Linked DNA regions of Schizosaccharomyces pombe. The protein of the gene in region 3 purifies or fractionates together with the protein of the main gene of each other region. This does not show direct contact. Each region holds a gene or a part of one and is shown on either strand. Other genes may lie near its edges.

Region 1 (4,700 bases), on a different chromosome or scaffold from region 3:
TGATGGCTAACTCAGAAACTATTTTACTTGTGAAATACAATATAGACTATATCAGTATCTTCCCGTATTTAGCGAATAGAGAAACCGGACAGGCGATATTTGATGATATGCGCCGTAGCGACCACAGCAGAATACACCATTGCTCAAAATATCGACAAAATTGTTAAATTACTATAACGTAAAAAATGAGCTTGCCGTTCCACTTTAAATATATAGTGTTGATCATATCTACTAACTTAGCTAAAATTGACAAAGTGGTAATGGGAGAGACTAATGTATAGCTTTGGTTTTATAAAGTGTTACTTAAGTCACGTTAGAAAACTAGCTTATATCCACTGTGGTTATTATTTTCTGCCGGAAGCCATTTTATAGCATTGCTTTATTTGCTCTAGTTATGCATAACAAAAAATAAATTTGCACAAAAATTTTTTGCCCATTTCGCCATTTATAATTAAAAAGACTAAAGTATACCTTTGATTGGAACCATAATCCAAGATCAAATCTGTATTGCTTCACAGCATAACCATAAATGTGTTTGCATACGTGTATTATATACGAAATATAAAACAACAAATTTGAAAATAAAGCACACGACCATTCTCCAAACCCCTGTGTTTTTAGCGTATTACTCATTTATTACAATGTGCAAAGACCAAGTCTCAGTTTAAACAACAAACGCATTTGTAGCGTTGTAGCACCGATCGAAAACTGTTTTTCAACAACTTTCCTTCTGTTACAGCTTCGCAAACTCACTAAATATTTCAATCTGTAAACTACATATAGTTTTCATAGACATTAAAGAAACATACAACTGAACAACTTTGAAAGTATATTTTAAGATCTATAAACTTTCCATAAGTTTTTTAAAATTCGCCCAAATCAGGCTCATCGTCATCTAAATCTGCCTCAGCCATTTCTTTATCCATACGCCTACGTGCCTCTTCCACACCTTCGAGTTCACTTTTGTGAGCATCCATGGGATATCGCATACTTTTTATGCTGTCATTATGAAGGGCAAGACAAAACTGAATACGTTCATGAAAAGCTTGTTGAGGCTGCTCGGTGGAATAAATATCCATGGCTTCGTTACTAGCCATAAAGGCATTACTATGATCGATACTTGCATCAATAACTCCATCACGGATGCCCTTAGCAACAATGTACTCGGCACTCTCTTCACTGTCCAAACCAAGCTTTATACAAACATCACGAAGGGAAATACGGGAATAAGATAAGGAGATCATCCTCAATCCAGTCTTAATGACGGTATGGCGAAGGCGGCATATCAAAGTATACAATCCATCGAAGCGAAATTCAGCCTCATACTTGGAAAGCGCGTCAGTGAAAGCACAAAGGTCACCAATACGAACTGCCTGGCTAATACGTAAGTAAGGCACTAAAGTTTTTTCGAGAGATTTTTGGCGGAAAATGCGGCGTTCGGGAATTTCTCCCATAAGCAATTGTACGACGATGTGCAATTTGTAAACAGCTTCCAGAAATTGAACGGCATATACTGTGTTGGGAGCCTTACGTATAGCACTAACTAAATGTTCATGAGCGGTCGTGTAGTCAAGTTGAATGGCGCGAATTCGACCCAAATAGTATTGGTAGCGAATTGCCAAGTTATTACTAGCATTCGTAAGAAAGGATGTTTTCGAAACGAGACGGTCTGCTTGATCATATAGGTTAAACTGAATATAATTCCGAAGAAGTAATGTCAAAACCATAGCTTGAGTTTCAGAGTCGTGACGTAAAGATGCAGTACGATGAACGGACAAAAGAGTGTTCCTGCATTCTACAGACCTATTACATTTTTCAAAGAATAGTATGTAATAGAAATATAACTTGGCTGCAATTTGATCCAAGGTTCGTCGATCATAGGATTGCAAACGGGCGATTACCTTCTTAATATATTCAGCGCCTACCTCATATTTTTCATTATAATAAAGTGTCATGCTAAGAAGCAGTTGTAAGTACATATCCACTTCCGGAAAAATTGTGTTGCCATTTCCATTTGTAATAGAAGTGGAAGAATCATCACCATTTTGTGGCATATCAATAAGTTCCAATAATTCATTTTTTAAAGAATTATCAAAAGAATAATACTTCTTAATTAACTGGCCTAAAACATCCGCATTCAGTCTATGGCAAATGTTGGATGTGGTTCTTAATGATCGATAGACAAGTCTGGGATCTCTTTGTTTGGTGGCTTGCATTAAGGCAGCAATATTTGCTTCCACATCTGATCCTTGTTAGAAATAAATAAATTTTGACGCATTAACTCACCTTGCAAAACTGTTCTTGGAACTTCAGTTACAGTGTTCTGTTTTGTTTCACCAGAATCAACATTTTCTTCTTGGTTTACAGAATCAACCTGCATATCTTTTTAACGTTAATAAATACAAAAACTTTCCCATCAATAACAAACCTCTCTGATCATCAATCATATTGATACTGGTACTTGGTAGTGGTTACGTTCAGTGGAGGGCATATGCCTAAGCTTACGACTCACTGTGCTGTATACTTCCTCCCTATGATTATAAACACGAATATATTAAATGTTCTATTTAGTAAAGACTTTTGAATGCAATATTTATTACAGCATAATAGACGAATAATGTTTGAACAAAGTAGAAGATAGTATCGAATAGTTAAATAAATGAAAATACGCGTCTTCAACAAACATTCAATAAACGTAGCATTGCTCACGATTAGTTGTTTCTTAGCACCATAATCGTTGTATACAACTTGTAGAATGCACCAGCAAAATGGTCCTAACAAGATTGGAGGAAAAAATTAACTCATGACTAGCTCATTTCAAACGGACGACATATACTAATTTTGACCCCTTTTAATCCCTAAAGCCAATACTCTCAGTATTCAAGCAATTCATTAAAACATTTTGATTTTAACTCTTTTCTCTTCTAACTTATGCAAATTCGCAAGTAAATTAGAAAAACGATTATAAAATTTCAGGCGTACAATCACGAATTAAATAATATGAAAGCAAAAGAAAAGTATGTTTCAAAGTTCGTCCGGAGATGAGTTGTTATCCTTTTCTTCAAACTCTTTATCTGATTGACTAGAGGCGGTTTGCAATACGGATGCTATCTCATTATCGTATGAAGTCCATTCAGAGACTTGCCTACGTGCGCGATCCAGCTTCTTTTCTTTAGTTAAAGGATTTTGACATAAATCGATTGTTTTGGCAGTTTTCAAACTTTCATCACTGCACCATGTCTCACACCAAAGCCAATCTTGCGGAAGAGAGTATATAGGAATAAGGTGTTGAAGGTGATTTGGCAAATCTTGATCTAAATTAGACAGGGAGTTAGGATCGGCAGACAAAAGTTGGTATTGTCTGCGAAGTAAATCACCCGCACCCATCTTCCTGAAACGATCTAAGTCTACAACATATAATGCACTAATGTGATATTTTAATCCACGTAAGAATTTTTTCCAGTATCCTTTTTTCCAGAATCTAAAACCTTCCATCTCTTCGCGAGAATCACACATGGGTGTATACCCATATGGAGCACCATGTAAATCCATATCCATCAATTCCTGCAAGTCAGCACGCACAATTTGATCGGCATCAACATAGATAACCTTATGCAATTCTAAAGGGAATAAAACATCAAGGAACAATATTTTGTATCCCCATATCTCACGTTGCTTTTCTTCTTGTTTTCTCAGCCAGTGTGGCCAATTGTAAGTAATATACTCATACTCGAAATTATACTTTTTGGCAATGGCCGGAATAGAGCTTTTAAAAGAAGGGGACAAAAAGTTCTCAATAAACCAGAACTTGACTTTTTTATCCGTATGCTCAATTACACTCTTAGTCATGATGTATAAGAATCTTTCATACAAGTGTCCGCTGGCAACAGAAAAAATATTTATAGATGCTTCTTTACGTTTGAAATTAAAGAAGCTGAGAGACTTTTTTATTTTATCGAAAAATTTATGGGAGCTAAGGTCTTCATCCATAATGTCGGCAGACTCAAAACCAGGTTTACGTCGCATAACCGGATTTAAGGTGACACCTTCAAAACTGTCAACAATTACTTGAGGGTCTTTATAGGAATTTTTCTTATTTAGCGACAGTATTTCATAAAACTGAGAAGACCGCCCATCCATAGGTTCCAAAGTCCATACGCCTGGGTTCGCCTTCAATTGAAAATATCCTAAATTTGATAATACAATTGTATCAGTCACATGGGAATTAGTAAGGTTGCCTAGCTTTAATTGCATACCCCTCGGTGGGCTTTTCCTGAATTCTTCTTGAGAGTAACCTTGTACCAAAATGTTTTTAAGTTCATAGATTGCTGTATGTGAGTCCAAAGCCTCTGCTTCAGAAGTGTGCTCTAATTTTATGTTGAAAAGATCAATGTCCACATCTTTTTGCATAACTGTCCATGCGTCTCTAGCTTCAATGTCCATTGTAAGCAGTGTATCAGCCGGTAAGTTGTCAAATTCTACGTAAGACTCCTCTAAATGGCCAAGCGCATCAAACTCTGGCTCCGCAGAAATTGAATATCGATAAAACCTTGTTAATGGAAGCTCAGACAAAGTTTGTTTAGGATTGAAATGAATTCGAACTCCTACGCCGTTCAACTTTGAGACTGCTTCAAGAATAGCTGACCATTTTTGAGAATCTTTTGAAAGAGGATCTAAAACTGCAACAAACTGATAATAAG
Region 2 (4,137 bases), on a different chromosome or scaffold from region 3:
GTAGGATTACGCCGACGTTCCTACTATTTTTCTAAATACACTTTGCTAGCCGCTCGTTCCCTCCTCGCTATAGGAGTTGGCGTTACTTCGTGGAATTATTCCATTCATGAAAATGGTGTCTTTTATGGCTACATTGTAGGACTTTTAGGCGGATTCCTTGCTTGGCTTATCATTGGCGCCATAGAGGGCGGCCTCAGCATGATGTGAGTAATTATATTTAGTTATCCTCGCGTAAAATACTAACTTTTTCACAGTGTGGATGCGTTACTTATATGCTCTATTATCGATATTTCTAGCTGCCAAGGAGATCCTAATGGTTCTCACTGTTTCGAGGCATGGCAGCTTTTTGAATCAAATGGATATTAAAACCAAAAATGCGAATTACTTCTTTTGCTGTTTTTCTGTTTCTTTTAACTTCCTTAGAACCTACTTTCATCAAAGAGCTCAAAGAAAGAGATGCTGGTCACCTGTACGCGTATCCCTATTCCCTTTTACTTCATTAATATAATGTCAGCCTACTTTTTAACATTGACACCTTGGCGTTTGCTAGGATTTCTTTTCATGAAAAGTTTTTTCTCAAGCTATCCATCATATCACTGTAAATTAAAATATGATATTTTGTATGCAATTTCTTCGTACTAACTTAAAATTACACTTTTATCCTTCGTAAATACAATTTAACAAACGTAGACATATCATTTTTAACATACAAGCAAATAAACCCGAACCCGACGTGTAACTTTTACAAGTTAAGAGGGTTACAAATATCTGCAAAACTGTCTGCGAAAAGACAAGATATAAATAAAAACTCTATGATACTTAGACATTGAAATAAAAAACCTACGTTAGATAAAGTCGTTAAATCTCAGAAAGAGGAGTCCACAAATGATAGAAGCCAGACATGGATAGTATGAATACAGTGATTAAGCCTTTTGTTCGGCATTAGCCGAAACTTCTCCATTTTGAACAGTTGGCTTTATGTCCTGCTGTTCCATAGCTTTACTAGCAGCCAAAGAATCCAAAAGATCATGAAGAGCAATCACGGCCCTCACGATGCTGGAAATATAAATGGACATCAACTGATCATTGGAATTCACATTGAAAGCACGTTGTGCCTCTGATTCCAAGGCCTGTTCTGAAACCACAGGACCGCTAAAAATGTTAGGCAAAAGATTAAACACACTCTGAAGCTCGGCAAGGATAGCATGATTTATAGGTAGTTGCCCATCCACGACTTTCCTTAAGTAATCTGCGATTTCAGTGAGACGCTGCCCAAGGCCTTGTAAAGATTGTGCCTGCTGGGTAACTCTTGTCGCTAAAGTACCAACGGATGCATCACGAGTATCACGTAACAAGTGTTCAACACCAATTTCCTCTGCTTCCTCTGCCTCTATACTGGAGGGTAGATGAACAAAAGTTCTGCTGGACTTAGAGCCGTCGTCTTCAATTTCATCAATGGCAAAGTAGGCATTAGTCGGAAGACCCACTGATTTGGGCTTTACATCGATAATGACAAGAACGGGATTGGGTATGTATTTTTTAAGTAAGTTGTTGATTTCCAAATCAGAGGGTCGGAGTTGTGGTCCAGTATGATACCAGCCAACTAATTTTTCATTTGCATTGATTTTTTTAAACATTTCATTCATTGATTCCATAAAATTATGGTCCAAAAACCAAACCGATGCATTCTTTTCATCTTCCTCAAATGGTATAGCATAACTATTGGCCACGTTTACAACGTCGCCATTATTTTGACCCAATAGAATACCAACGACCCGTCTTTTGGTTCCCTTGGCAGATCGATTATAAGAATCTACTGCTGACAGAAGTACTAATGGATGCACAATCTAACCAATGGTTAATAAAAAAGTTTCTCAAATTTTCTACTTACAACTTGCTGTGGGACGATTGTAGAGGTTTCAGAGCTCACTGCAGGAGGCATTATAACCGGTTTATATTAAAAATTTGTCTCTCACAACTTCAACTGTGTATGGCAAACGAAAGGTTGAAAGCGTGTAACCTCTCATCACATGCTGCAGCGGTTTCCTACTTACCGCAAGTTAAGACATAGTTCATTACAGAAATATTACGATACTTTCAAATGCCCAACTACCTATTAAGCGCTGTAATATAACAATGCTTTAAACAATGATCATTCCATTAGGCTACTAAATGGCAATTATATTACACTCCCTCTCATATGTAGAAAGGATTGAAGAGCTATACATTTAAATCATGTTAAACGTGTAATTGCACGTAATTTACTCAAATAAATTCTGAAAAGACATGGACATTAAATATTGAAGACATATCTTGAAACCATCTGCTCTTTTTTTAAAGAAATACTTTGCATATCAAATTACATGCTGGTATTTCGATTTGAAGCATAGTATATCACTTTTAACTACTTAATCAAACCGAAATACACGTGAGACGCATTCCAAAAGTTCATTAAATATCTGTTCGATGACTATATTTACGATGAAACAAGTAAAAGAAACTTTCAGTAAGAACGTTCTTAAAAGTTTTCGTCTGAAGCAATTGAAACAGTTAGAATTCAGATATTTTGTATGTCCACACGTTTCATCAAAGCCATATGCATGAGATTTTTTGCAAACTTACATTAATAGGATTTGTGTTTTTGGAATTATTTCAAACGTTTAAAAATATTAACAGAAAAACATAGATCACTATTTGAGAACAACGATATTTCATCTTATCTCTAAAACGAAGGCTATCAGTTCTTATCAAAAAATGAAAAAAATTTCAATAAAAGTTCACTACACTAAAATCCTTTAACTTTTCTTTTTCAACACAACGAAACTTTTTGGTTATTAATTAAATTTTTAAATAGATAGAGAAAGATGGCTCCTGTTCAGTTGAAAAACAAAGAGTCGCAAACCGCTCGAATTGTGGGATCAGCATCTGCCGGAATTCTCGAACTTTCACTCTTTCATCCTGTTGATACAATTTCCAAGCGTTTGATGTCAAATCATGGAAAAATTACTTCTTTAACTCAACTTAACACTGTAATTTTCAGAGATGCTGCCTCTGCTCCTCTACTCCAAAAGGCTACCTCTCTTTTTCCTGGTTTGGGCTATGCTGCTTGCTACAAAATTGTACAACGTATTTATAAATATAGCGGTCAACCAATTGTATGTTGTAGAGTACTTATACTGGTAGTTTAAAGCGTACGTTTTTTCCAAGCCTTGATGGCGGAATTAATGTATCGCAGTTGGCTTCAGTATACTCGTTCATCTTTACTAACATGTTCAGGTAAAAGACTTTTTGAATGAAAATTATAGACATACTTTTGATAAAACTTTTGGAAAGGGATCTGGAAAAGCCATTATGCATGCTACTGCTGGAAGGTATGTATCTGTCGAATATTTGTTTAACTAAGCTGAAAGCTTATGTTTAAGATTGTTGAAAAGGGAATTCAAGATGTGTATAGCTTACTAACTTTTCAGTATCGTTGGAATTGGAGAGATCTTCCTCCTTCCCTTAGACGTCCTGAAAATTAAGCGCCAAACCAATCCTGCAGCTTTTAAAGGTCGCGGTGTTTTCAGAATTCTCGCTGATGAGAAATTTGCGTTGTATCGTGGATGGGGATGGACTGCCGCCCGCAATGCCCCAGGTTCTTTTGCACTCTTTGGTGGTAACGCTTTTGCTAAGGAGTACATATTTAAACTAAAGGATTACTCTCAAGCCACTTTTTTTCAAAATTTTTTCACCTCAATCGCTGGTGCTTCTGCTAGTTTGATTGTCTCTGCCCCTCTCGATGTTATTAAAACTCGTATTCAAAATAAGAATTTTGATAACCCTCAATCCGGGTTTACTATTTTGAAAAATATGCTTAAATTCGAAGGACCTACCTCGTTCTTTAAAGGGTTGACTCCCAAATTGTTGACAACTGGTCCTAAGCTTGTTTTTTCATTTACCATGGCTCAAACCCTTATCCCCTTCTTTGATAAGCTTTTGAAATAATATGCTTTATTTCTTCATTTCAATGTTGAAATATTGTTGAGTGTGCTCTGTTTTTCTATATAAATAATTCATTGGGGTTGTAATCTTTTGAAAGACTTTACTTTTTGGTTCTTTTTGTTTTTGTCATTCAAAAGTGAAGAAAGTTTTTTT
Region 3 (3,446 bases):
AGCATCACCTTGCCATGCTGAAAAAGCTCAGAAATTCTAAAACACCCCATAAAGTATTTACTGCTGTCAGTGTTATTGTGCCTATGGAAGTGCCTATTCATCCAGGTTATGTTATGAAAACACACCTTGAAGAAACTCAGGTGAAGTTTGACCCTTCCATAACTGACGAATTTCTCGAAGCTTATGTTCGTTGTGGCGAAGGTTCAGATAAAGCCGGAGGCTATGCTATACAGGTATGTTTTTGGCTGTTTTTAGGGTGATGGAAGTGCCTGAACCGTGCGTGCTTTCAAATAATGAATTATAGCATTTTTTGTTTTTTTTAAATTTTTACGCATGACTTTGCTGACTAAGTTTAGGGTCACGGCGCCTTATTGATTGAGTCTATCATAGGTGACTTTTCCAATGTTGTAGGCTTGCCTATCCGCGCTACTTTCAAGTTGATGGAAGAAGCCTTAGAACAAGGAGATGCTGATAATTACGATTAAGAATCTTCTAAGAAATTAAGTTCATGACAATTGCGTTTCATTTTCCCAGGCACCTTCATCTTTGCCTCATACACTTCAATGTTTTTGTTTAAATTCCTTTACATATTAACTACGCGTCTCTTCTTTTGACCATTTGAAATGATCATCATTTGAACAATCATGGGTTGCTATTGTCTATAGTAATGCAAATAGGTTTTACATTTTCTAGCTTATCTTCATTTCGCATATACAGGCAGTACCGTTTCGCCGGTAATTGTTAGAATATAATCAATTCAGGCGTATATAAGTATCATAGACCTAATTTACAGATATGGACAAGTTGAAGTTCTTTAAACGTAAAAATCTTCAACACAAGAATATCTATCTGCACCGTATTTACAGAACCAGCAAAACCTTAGAGTCATGAAAGAACCTGTATTCGATCGTTTTGTTAATGCATTAAAATTATACTGAGGGATGAAGGCAGTTTCGGAGATATACACTCTGGCAGAAGCAATATCTTAATTGGCGGCAACACCCTTCTTTTTTAACTCTGCTTGTAATTGAACAGAAAAATCATCGTCTCCAATGTCCTCATCGTCCCAATTGTTTTCCCATAGCGTATCATCTCCAGTATCAAGCTCTGTATCTTTCATAGGCCAATCTTTTTGATGTTAAATAATTATTTCTTTAAAAGTACTTACTTTCTGTTGCGAAATCTTCAAACTCATCATCATCCTCAAGGTCTAAGCATTATGTTAGTAAACGTCTTTAGGCCAACGAAAAAATCATAGACATTAGCATATCGAATAAATAGTACTCGAAAGCCACTCTAAATAATTTGTAACGTACTTTCTAAGCTTGGTAAGGCCGCACGAGACATTCTAATTTATAAACGTGATTTGGTGTGAAAGGTGAACCCTGCCGTACTGTGATGTTTGAATGAACTTTTCACTGGTAACGATGTCTACTGAGTTACACTATTATATTTACAAACTGCATAAAGTTGCAGACTAATAAATAGCAGTTTGCCATTGATATTTCAATTAAAAACAAATTGTATTACTGGATTATTCTTATCTATGCTGACTCTATGTTCTGAATACCGGAGGATTTCCTAAAGTCAAGATTTGAAATGCAGGGTTTATTAACATTATAATTAAAGGTACAATAAGAAACGATTTTTAGACTAGAATTTAGTGATCTTTGAAATGTAGCAATCAAAATTGAAGACTGTAAAAGATAAACATATTCGAGCTTCAAACCTAAAATATTCCGGATGAAAAATGAAGAAACAAATTGGCTTTTGTATGACAGGCTAAAATCTACTTCATCTTTTCATACATGCTGATCAAGCTGGTATATTTAACCTCCTCCTTCGGCCAAAAGTAACATGCAAACATCCATAAATTCTTCCTAACAGTAGCTTTTTCTTCGGAGGGTGTATCATTGACAGTTTTTTCAATATGCTTTCCAATCGTTGTCAAACACTCAGTAAGTAACTTCACCAACTCCGCGCGTCCAAGCCCACTAGAATCTTTCCGAAGTCTTTTCATATGCTTACGGACTGGATACATCAGTTCTTTGCAGCGTGCCTTTTGTTCAGCATTTAGACTTACATTACCATCGTCTTTTTCAGATTTGACGGGTGAAGCTGTCTGGCTGCGAGACTGTTCCCTACTAGGTGTTTCAATCTTCGTGTCTTTAGAAGAAGGTTTCTTACGAGATTCTGAAATTGCAGGCGATGGTGTCCTAGTTGCACTCTCTATTTTTTGCGCAGATTTAACGTTAGGCTTGCCACTTTGTCTGCGATTAGCCGTCTGCTTCTTAGGTTGAGTTTTTCCATTAGTACTAATAGCGGGGCTTGATTTTATGCCAAAATTTTGGTGATGCTCACGTAAAGCACTAAGTAGGTATTCACCTCGACGAACCAAATGCACAGCTGAAGGTACCTTTTTCTCTTTATTTTCTTTATCTTTGGGGACAGAGTTGTCTGTTTGTTTTGTGTCTTCTAAAAAGATCTTGTCTTTCATTTTGAGTTCTGGATCATCTCGAATTTCTAACCAAGCTCCAAATCCATGCTTACAAATTCCAGAAAGCAACATGGAATCTTCTCGGGGTCCCCACTGACAGGACCAGCCGTGAACAGATCTAACGTGCATTGGAATTTGGAAGTTAGAATATCCTGACGTTGGCATAGCATCATAAAGAATATCAAGATCATTTAGCCTTTGTACCAATGTTTCAGCATTTATATTTTTTACACCTTTAAATGTAATGAGCAGCGCTTTACGAGATGACTTATTATTAGACTGATCATTAGATAAGTCCTTCTCGGCTGCTGATACAGCCTTGCGTGAAGCGGTTACTAAGTCAGCTGCAATCTTTTTTATTACGTGAGCATCTTGCGTAGTAAGATCAGCATATTTAACAATGTCATTGTAGCGATGCTCAAGGCTTCCATATCTAATCATAGCACGATAAAGCAACCGAATTTCCTTTTCCAGTAAAACCTCATCTTTAAGCATTTGCTTTTTGCTCTTCCTTTCAGAAGTTCCAGAGTAGGATGGGGATTCCACCGCAGAGCTAGGATAAGGACGATTACCTCGTCTACTACTAAGCTCAATTTCTTGCTTAAGCGCTTCTTCCTCTTCTCTTAAGCGGTCTTCCTCTTCAAACTTCTCACGTTCAGTTAGGGGTATAATATCATCCCAAGATACATCTGCCTTATAGTCTGTAACTTCGAACTGTTTCAAAAACTCTTCACCACCCATGCTGGCTCCACCCACATCATTGGAAGTATCATGATCTTCGGCATGTTCCAAAATTTCATCTAAATTCATATCCTCAAGCTTCTTTTGATTATTCTCTGCTTTAAACATATTAGAAGCTCCAAATTTCAAAATAGCGCTAAGCTCTTCAGCAGAAAATTTATCATTTTTGGAATTCTTTTGCTTGTCTGTAACACCTAATGAAATAATT
Region 4 (6,019 bases), on a different chromosome or scaffold from region 3:
GTTGCTTTATCGTGGGCTACGACTTGTCCTTCTCGACGTTTGGCTTGTAATTCATTCCAGTTGTTTCGTTCTTTGCTTCCAGATTTTGATGCACGAATGCTTCTTGAGATTATTTCTCGTCTAGTTGGTACAATATCAGATGAAACGAGCTATTTACGTGATTATTCCGTTGAAATATTGCGAACTTTTAATTCCTATGTTTTAGTTATGAACTCCGATGATTTACTAAGTTATTCTCAAATATTATGGACAGCCATTGCGTGTTTGACTACAATCCATGAGGATGAATTTATTGAATCTGTGAAAATTGCATATGCTTACTTTCTGAGAGTGGAGGAGACGGACTCTGCTACCCAACAAATTATGGAGACATTTCCCCAAAACTGGGTTGGAGATTACCAAGGTCTTCAGATTTTAATATTAAAAGGTTTCCGTTCAACTAATTCTTTTGAAATTACCATGAATTTTTTCCTTTTGCTGATGGATTTCAAGGATAATGATTTGGTTGGCGTTGGTTATTTGAGGATACTATCCTGCTTGTTGGTGTCATTACCAGCGATGGTATATACATACGAGCATTCAGATCCTATTACTTTTGATTTAAGTGTTTTCTGTCATAAATTAGCTACTCTTGCTTCACAATTTAACGATGATGCATTGATTGAGCTTCTTGACACATATCTCAAACGTAAATTCAGGTCAATTAAGGATTTTTTAAAACATACGGTTTCATACCTATACTCCTATTATTTTGAAGATTACGAGCTAGAAATTGTTAGTACTCTTACGATGTTTCTATCAAATAATTTGACTTGGTTTAGAAAGTCTACGTTAGATGTGTTAAAAGAACTCTTTCCATTAATTGATTTCCAAAAACCTATATATTCCGAACATGGATTAGGTATTGTTTCACCGCTTCTTCGACTCTTACCTACTGGTTATGCAATGGAAGCGTTGTCTTTGCTAACCGACTCAGTGCTTCATGTATCTGCTCCCACAGATATGCAAACCTTAAAGTTATTAATGGTTGACCCTAAATTAAAAAATTCAGATGATCGTCTGGCTGGATTTTTTGAAATACCTGACGAGGATGGATGGTATGAACCAAACTCTGAATATGCAGCTGCTATAACTAAAAGCAACGTACATGCCGTATTTTATAGCTGTTCCACTACCGAGGCTTCTGTGAGTACGCCAGAGGTTAGATTTCATGCTGATGAAGTATCCAATTATCCGCGACACGTTCCTACTGACAGTCATGGTTCGCTTGACGAAAATTCACTAGGAGAGCTAGTTACAACTCTTCATAGCCTCGATGTCTTCTTCGCTGAAGATAGGGATGAAGAGTTAATTCAGCCTGATGTCGCCGTTGATCCAAAATTAGATATTACATCGGAAGATTATGACGATCGGATAGCTACGATTCTTTCAGGTAGCCTTAGACGGCAGAAACAAGGTCTTATGGCTTATGAAACAGAATCCTTCAGAGATTATTCACCGAACGAAGAAATTGATGCATCAGCAAAATTGCCGATGGACATGCCGCCGGTGAGAGTAAGAAAGTCGTCTTTTATCTCTAAATTAAAACCTCATTACTTTATGGATGCTGAATCTTATTATCCTTCTTTAAAGGCACTTGGTAATTCGGCGGAACATCGTTTATCTTTGGACGAAATACGAGGTGCAGCAGAATTGAAACAAAATAAAAATTGGAATTCCATGTTAGATCAATCTGTTTCTATGATTAATGAAGATTCAGTGGAAGACCATGAAACTCATGAAAATTATTATCATTTACGTACAATGTTTCAAGGAAGTGAAAGCAATGAATCTTTTACTGATACAACTCGATCCCGCGGTTGGCATTGAATTTGCCTATACTGGTTTAGTATACTTATACAAGCTTTTATGGTGTTCATGTGTGTAAGATGGAAAATTAGTCGGCAACGTTTATGGATGTACTATATAAAACTATTCGTTTGTTTTCATTATTTTATCATTTGCATTTTTTTGTTAATTTAAACTCGAAAATTCTTTGACCATTACAGCCTTTAATTTTAGAATTCAAAATCTTAGAGCGTGTCATGTTATTAAAAATCAAGCTATAACTATGGTAATTAGGTGTAGTGATATAAATCGGTTTCATATGTCCGTATTTAAACAAATGAAAACATAAAGAGTCAATCAATAACGAGTTATTTTACAACAATTCTTATAAGAAAAGAGGCATGAGATAATAATGTCAAGCATCGTGTAATAATGGTAATACATTGACGAACTTAAATAATAGATTATTTTTTCATTTGTACTGATCCATAAAGAAAGCATAGCGTGTTGTTAAATCTAATTAACGTGATAAATAATCAAATACGTAAACAATCGGTATACTGGTTCTGACTAGGGTGAGAGTAGTTTCAACGACAACACATTACTACTCAGTTTCAGAAAATCTTAGGAATCTAGAAAATGAGTTCTAAAGACATTAGTTCGAAGTCCCCGAGTGGTAATGATGCATTAAATGACAAAAAAGGGACAAAGACTTCAGAAACTAATGACAGAAACTCAACGAACAATACCAAAGAAAGGGATGAATTAGAGGATTTAGTAAGTTAAAGCCCTATTATTTTTCAAAATGAAAACTAACCAAATAGTCTGAAGAAGATTTACAATTAAAAAATGATTTGGAATTATTAGTTCAAGCTGTTCAAGATGCCACCCCTGAGTTGGTGGGTTCCAGTCTCACTCAGCTTAAAGAAATAATTCGTACTTCTACCTCCTCTATGACGGCCGTTCCAAAGCCTTTGAAGTTTCTTAGACCACATTATTTTACTCTCGTTAAAATCTATGATTCCTGGCCGCAAAGCCCTCAGAAGACTCAACTTGCTGATATCCTTTCAGTATTAGGAATGTCCTATAGTAATACAAGCAAACATGAATCATTAAAATATCGTCTTCAGGGCGTTACCACTGATCCTTCTTTATGGGGTCATGAGTATGTTCGCCATTTGGCTTCCGAAATAGAAGAAGAGTTTGCCAGTCGCCAGGAAGAGGAAGCGCCAACCGACGATCTTATGGAACTTGCATTGACCATTGTTCCATTCTTCCTTACTCATAATGCTGAGGCTGATGCTATTGATTTATTACAAGAATTGGGTGCTATTGAAAAAGTTGTACCCTTCGTAGAACTTGATAATGCTTCTCGCGTTTGTCTTTATATTACCAGTTGCGTTAATCTTTTGCCATTTCCTGAAGATGTCGCCATGTTAAGAACAGCGCATGCTATTTATCGGAAGTTTGACCAGCTTACACAAGCACTTAACGTTGCTATCCGCCTTGATGATATGTCTTTGATAAAAGAAGACTGTGAAGCTGCTACGGATCCCTTGTTGAAAAAGCAAATGTCTTACATGCTTGCTCGTCAGCAAATACCTATGGATATGGGAGACGAGGAGTTAAACGATGCTTTAAATAACACTCATTTATCTGATCACTTTCATTATCTAGGAAAGGAGTTGAACCTTATGGATCCTAAAGTTCCGGAAGATATCTTTAAAACACATTTAGAAGTGGCTAGGACTGGATTGGGTGCATCAGGAGTGTATTCCGCCAAACAAAATTTAGCTAACACTTTTGTCAATGCCCTTGTCAATGCCGGATACAGTAACGACAGATTAATTTTGGTCGATGACGAAAAAACGTCTTGGATTTATAAAAATAAAGAATCTGGTTTAATAAGTGCTACAGCTTCTATTGGCCTATTACAATTATGGAATGTTGACATGGGATTGTCTTTGTTGGATAAGTATTTATACTCTTCTGAGGAGAATACCAAGGCTGGTGCATTGTTGGGAATTGGTGTTACAAATGTTGCAGTAAGAAATGAAGCTGATCCAGCTATGGCAATTCTTTCTGAATACCTTGAAACTGGCTCCGTAAAGCTTCGTGCATCAGCGATTTTAGGTTTAGGACTTGCATACAGTGGAGCTAATCGCGAAGATTTACTCGACATGTTATCTCCAATTGTTACGGATACCGATTGCCCTATGCAATTATCCTGCTTAGCCGCATTATCTTTAGGTCTTATTTTTGTTGGTACTTGCAACGGCGATGTAGCTAGCACAATTTTACAAACTCTAATGGAGCGTGAAGAGTCTGCCCAAAATGATCAATGGGGCCGTTTTATGGCTCTTGGCCTTGCCCTTCTTTTTAATGGTAAACAAGACCTTGCGGATGCTACAGTCGAAACACTGAAAGCTATTGAGGGTAAAATTGCACGACAAGCTGAAATTTTGGTGGATATTTGCTCGTATGCTGGAACTGGCAACGTTCTTCACATCCAAAAATTGCTTCATATCTGTAGTGAACCTCCCAGTGATGATGCTAAGGAGAGTGAGACTACTATCCAGACATTTGCAGCACTTGGTGTTGCTACTATAGCTATGGGTGAAGATATTGGAGCAGAAATGGTTTTGAGACATTTCGATCACATGATGCATTATGGCGAACCCTCTATTCGAAAAGCTATACCACTTGCATTAGGATTGCTTTCCGCTTCCAATCCTCAAATGCGTATATTTGACACGCTTTCACGCTATAGTCACGATAATGATTTGGATGTTGCTTACAACGCAATCTTTGCAATGGGTCTTGTTGGTGCTGGTACTAGTAATGCGCGTTTGGCTCAATTACTCCGCCAACTAGCCAGTTATTATCACAAAGAATCCAACGCTCTATTCATGGTTCGTATCGCTCAAGGTTTACTTTACTTAGGAAAAGGAACAATGACGCTTAACCCTTATCATACAGAACGGCAGATTCTTGGTCAAACTGCTTTTGCTGGTCTTATGACTGTTGTATTAGCTATGCTAGATGCAAATACCTTTGTCCTTGATACCTCGCATTGGTTGCTTTATGCTATTACGTTAGCAATACGACCCCGAATGCTCATTACCCTTGGTGAGGACGGTCAATATTTACCAGTAAGCGTTCGAGTTGGTCAAGCAGTAGATGTGGTCGGTCAAGCTGGTCGTCCCAAGGTCATTACGGGTTGGGTCACACATACTACACCAGTTTTGTTGCATCACAATGAGCGAGCTGAACTAGCGACGGAAGCATATACACCTTTGACTTCGTTGGAAGGTATTGTTATTTTAAAAAAAAATACGGAGGACATTGAAATGACCGCTTAAATGACTTGAAGTTAAATGACTACAATTTTTATGTACTAATGCTTGATTTCCAGTTCTTTGCTATTAATAAAACAAACTGGATTGTTGAAATTCAGCGCCCGATACATTTATTTTTCTATTTCGATTATGTTAAATTCGTATTTTTTAGATTAGAAATGTTCTAGTATTGTTCTAAATTGAAGTAGCGGAAAGTATATATACATGATTGCAAATTTGTAATTAGGATTATAATTTCTGTTTCTTTTTTTTTGTATTTGTCGCGTTACCAAAAGGTAATAGAACGTCCACTGCAGAAACGTCTTGTTGGATAAAAATTGCCCGAACTAAGGAGCTACCATTTCTTAGTAAAAAAAATTTAGACCTGCGTTGGAGCTTAATGCAATTATCAAAGAATGAATTTTAATCATCTTCTGATAATCCGACAAAGGAGTTGACTGCTTTGCGACGCATCCCTTATGTCACGTTTCTACTACTGTTTCAATACCTAACCATTACATTAAAGGTAAAACTGCACATTAGATACTTCGCATTTAGGGAATAACGGTGAATAGCTTTATTTAATTTCAAATATTATCTTGAATTGTTATTATGTTTCATCATATGCAGTCCCAAAGTCTGCTCATCGTTAATTCATTTCCACAGGTAAGTTGTGCATTCATTTCGTTATGTGAAAAAATGGAATGACGCTCGTATTTGAATTGATAGAAATGTCATATATGACTATTAGGGGACTATTATGTGTTGATTGAACAATTTATTTTCAATGGGATCACTCACCCGTCATTTTGTCTACCGAATTGCATTTTGTAAGAATTTGTCAGTAAAAATTT

Evidence for each region.
Region 1: the proteins of dss1 (region 3) and rpn3 purify together in Schizosaccharomyces pombe (affinity purification with mass spectrometry; 3 studies listed by BioGRID, with this or other methods). This does not show direct contact.
Region 2: the proteins of dss1 (region 3) and rpn8 purify together in Schizosaccharomyces pombe (affinity purification with mass spectrometry, with the first as the bait; 2 studies listed by BioGRID). This does not show direct contact.
Region 4: the proteins of dss1 (region 3) and mts4 purify together in Schizosaccharomyces pombe (affinity purification with western blotting, with the first as the bait; 4 studies listed by BioGRID). This does not show direct contact.

What each region holds. Positions count from the first base shown.
Region 1 is NC_003423.3:710,259-714,958, reverse strand, and holds rpn3 (19S proteasome regulatory subunit Rpn3), read right to left. Parts: upstream 2,470-4,700; 5' UTR 2,448-2,469; coding exon 2,429-2,447; exon of another isoform or gene 2,383-2,428; coding exon 2,287-2,382; exon of another isoform or gene 2,243-2,286; coding exon 864-2,242; 3' UTR 807-863; downstream 1-806. Other genes in the region: UDP-glucose--glycoprotein glucosyltransferase Gpt1, read right to left, coding at 3,025-4,700. UniProt on the Schizosaccharomyces pombe protein: Acts as a regulatory subunit of the 26 proteasome which is involved in the ATP-dependent degradation of ubiquitinated proteins.
Region 2 is NC_003421.2:388,552-392,688, reverse strand, and holds rpn8 (proteasome regulatory subunit Rpn8), read right to left. Parts: upstream 1,996-4,137; 5' UTR 1,943-1,995; coding exon 1,892-1,942; exon of another isoform or gene 1,848-1,891; coding exon 924-1,847; 3' UTR 597-923; downstream 1-596. Other genes in the region: ctl1 (choline transmembrane transporter family protein), read left to right, coding at 1-203, 255-366; ggc1 (guanine nucleotide transporter), read left to right, coding at 2,865-3,155, 3,277-3,371, 3,471-3,987. UniProt on the Schizosaccharomyces pombe protein: Acts as a regulatory subunit of the 26S proteasome which is involved in the ATP-dependent degradation of ubiquitinated proteins.
Region 3 is NC_003424.3:5,380,994-5,384,439, reverse strand, and holds dss1 (proteasome receptor/ubiquitin ligase adaptor Dss1), read right to left. Parts: upstream 1,374-3,446; 5' UTR 1,348-1,373; coding exon 1,317-1,347; intron 1,211-1,316; coding exon 1,169-1,210; intron 1,129-1,168; coding exon 986-1,128; 3' UTR 629-985; downstream 1-628. Other genes in the region: Maf-like protein Ifs1, read left to right, coding at 1-233, 357-485; CHD family chromatin remodeller Hrp3, read right to left, coding at 1,790-3,446. UniProt on the Schizosaccharomyces pombe protein: Versatile protein that might stabilize multiple protein complexes involved in diverse pathways. Subunit of the 26S proteasome which plays a role in ubiquitin-dependent proteolysis.
Region 4 is NC_003423.3:2,850,500-2,856,518, reverse strand, and holds mts4 (19S proteasome regulatory subunit Rpn1/Mts4), read left to right. Parts: upstream 1-2,416; 5' UTR 2,417-2,466; coding exon 2,467-2,604; exon of another isoform or gene 2,605-2,651; coding exon 2,652-5,189; 3' UTR 5,190-5,398; downstream 5,399-6,019. Other genes in the region: morphogenesis protein Mor2, read left to right, coding at 1-1,869. UniProt on the Schizosaccharomyces pombe protein: Acts as a regulatory subunit of the 26 proteasome which is involved in the ATP-dependent degradation of ubiquitinated proteins.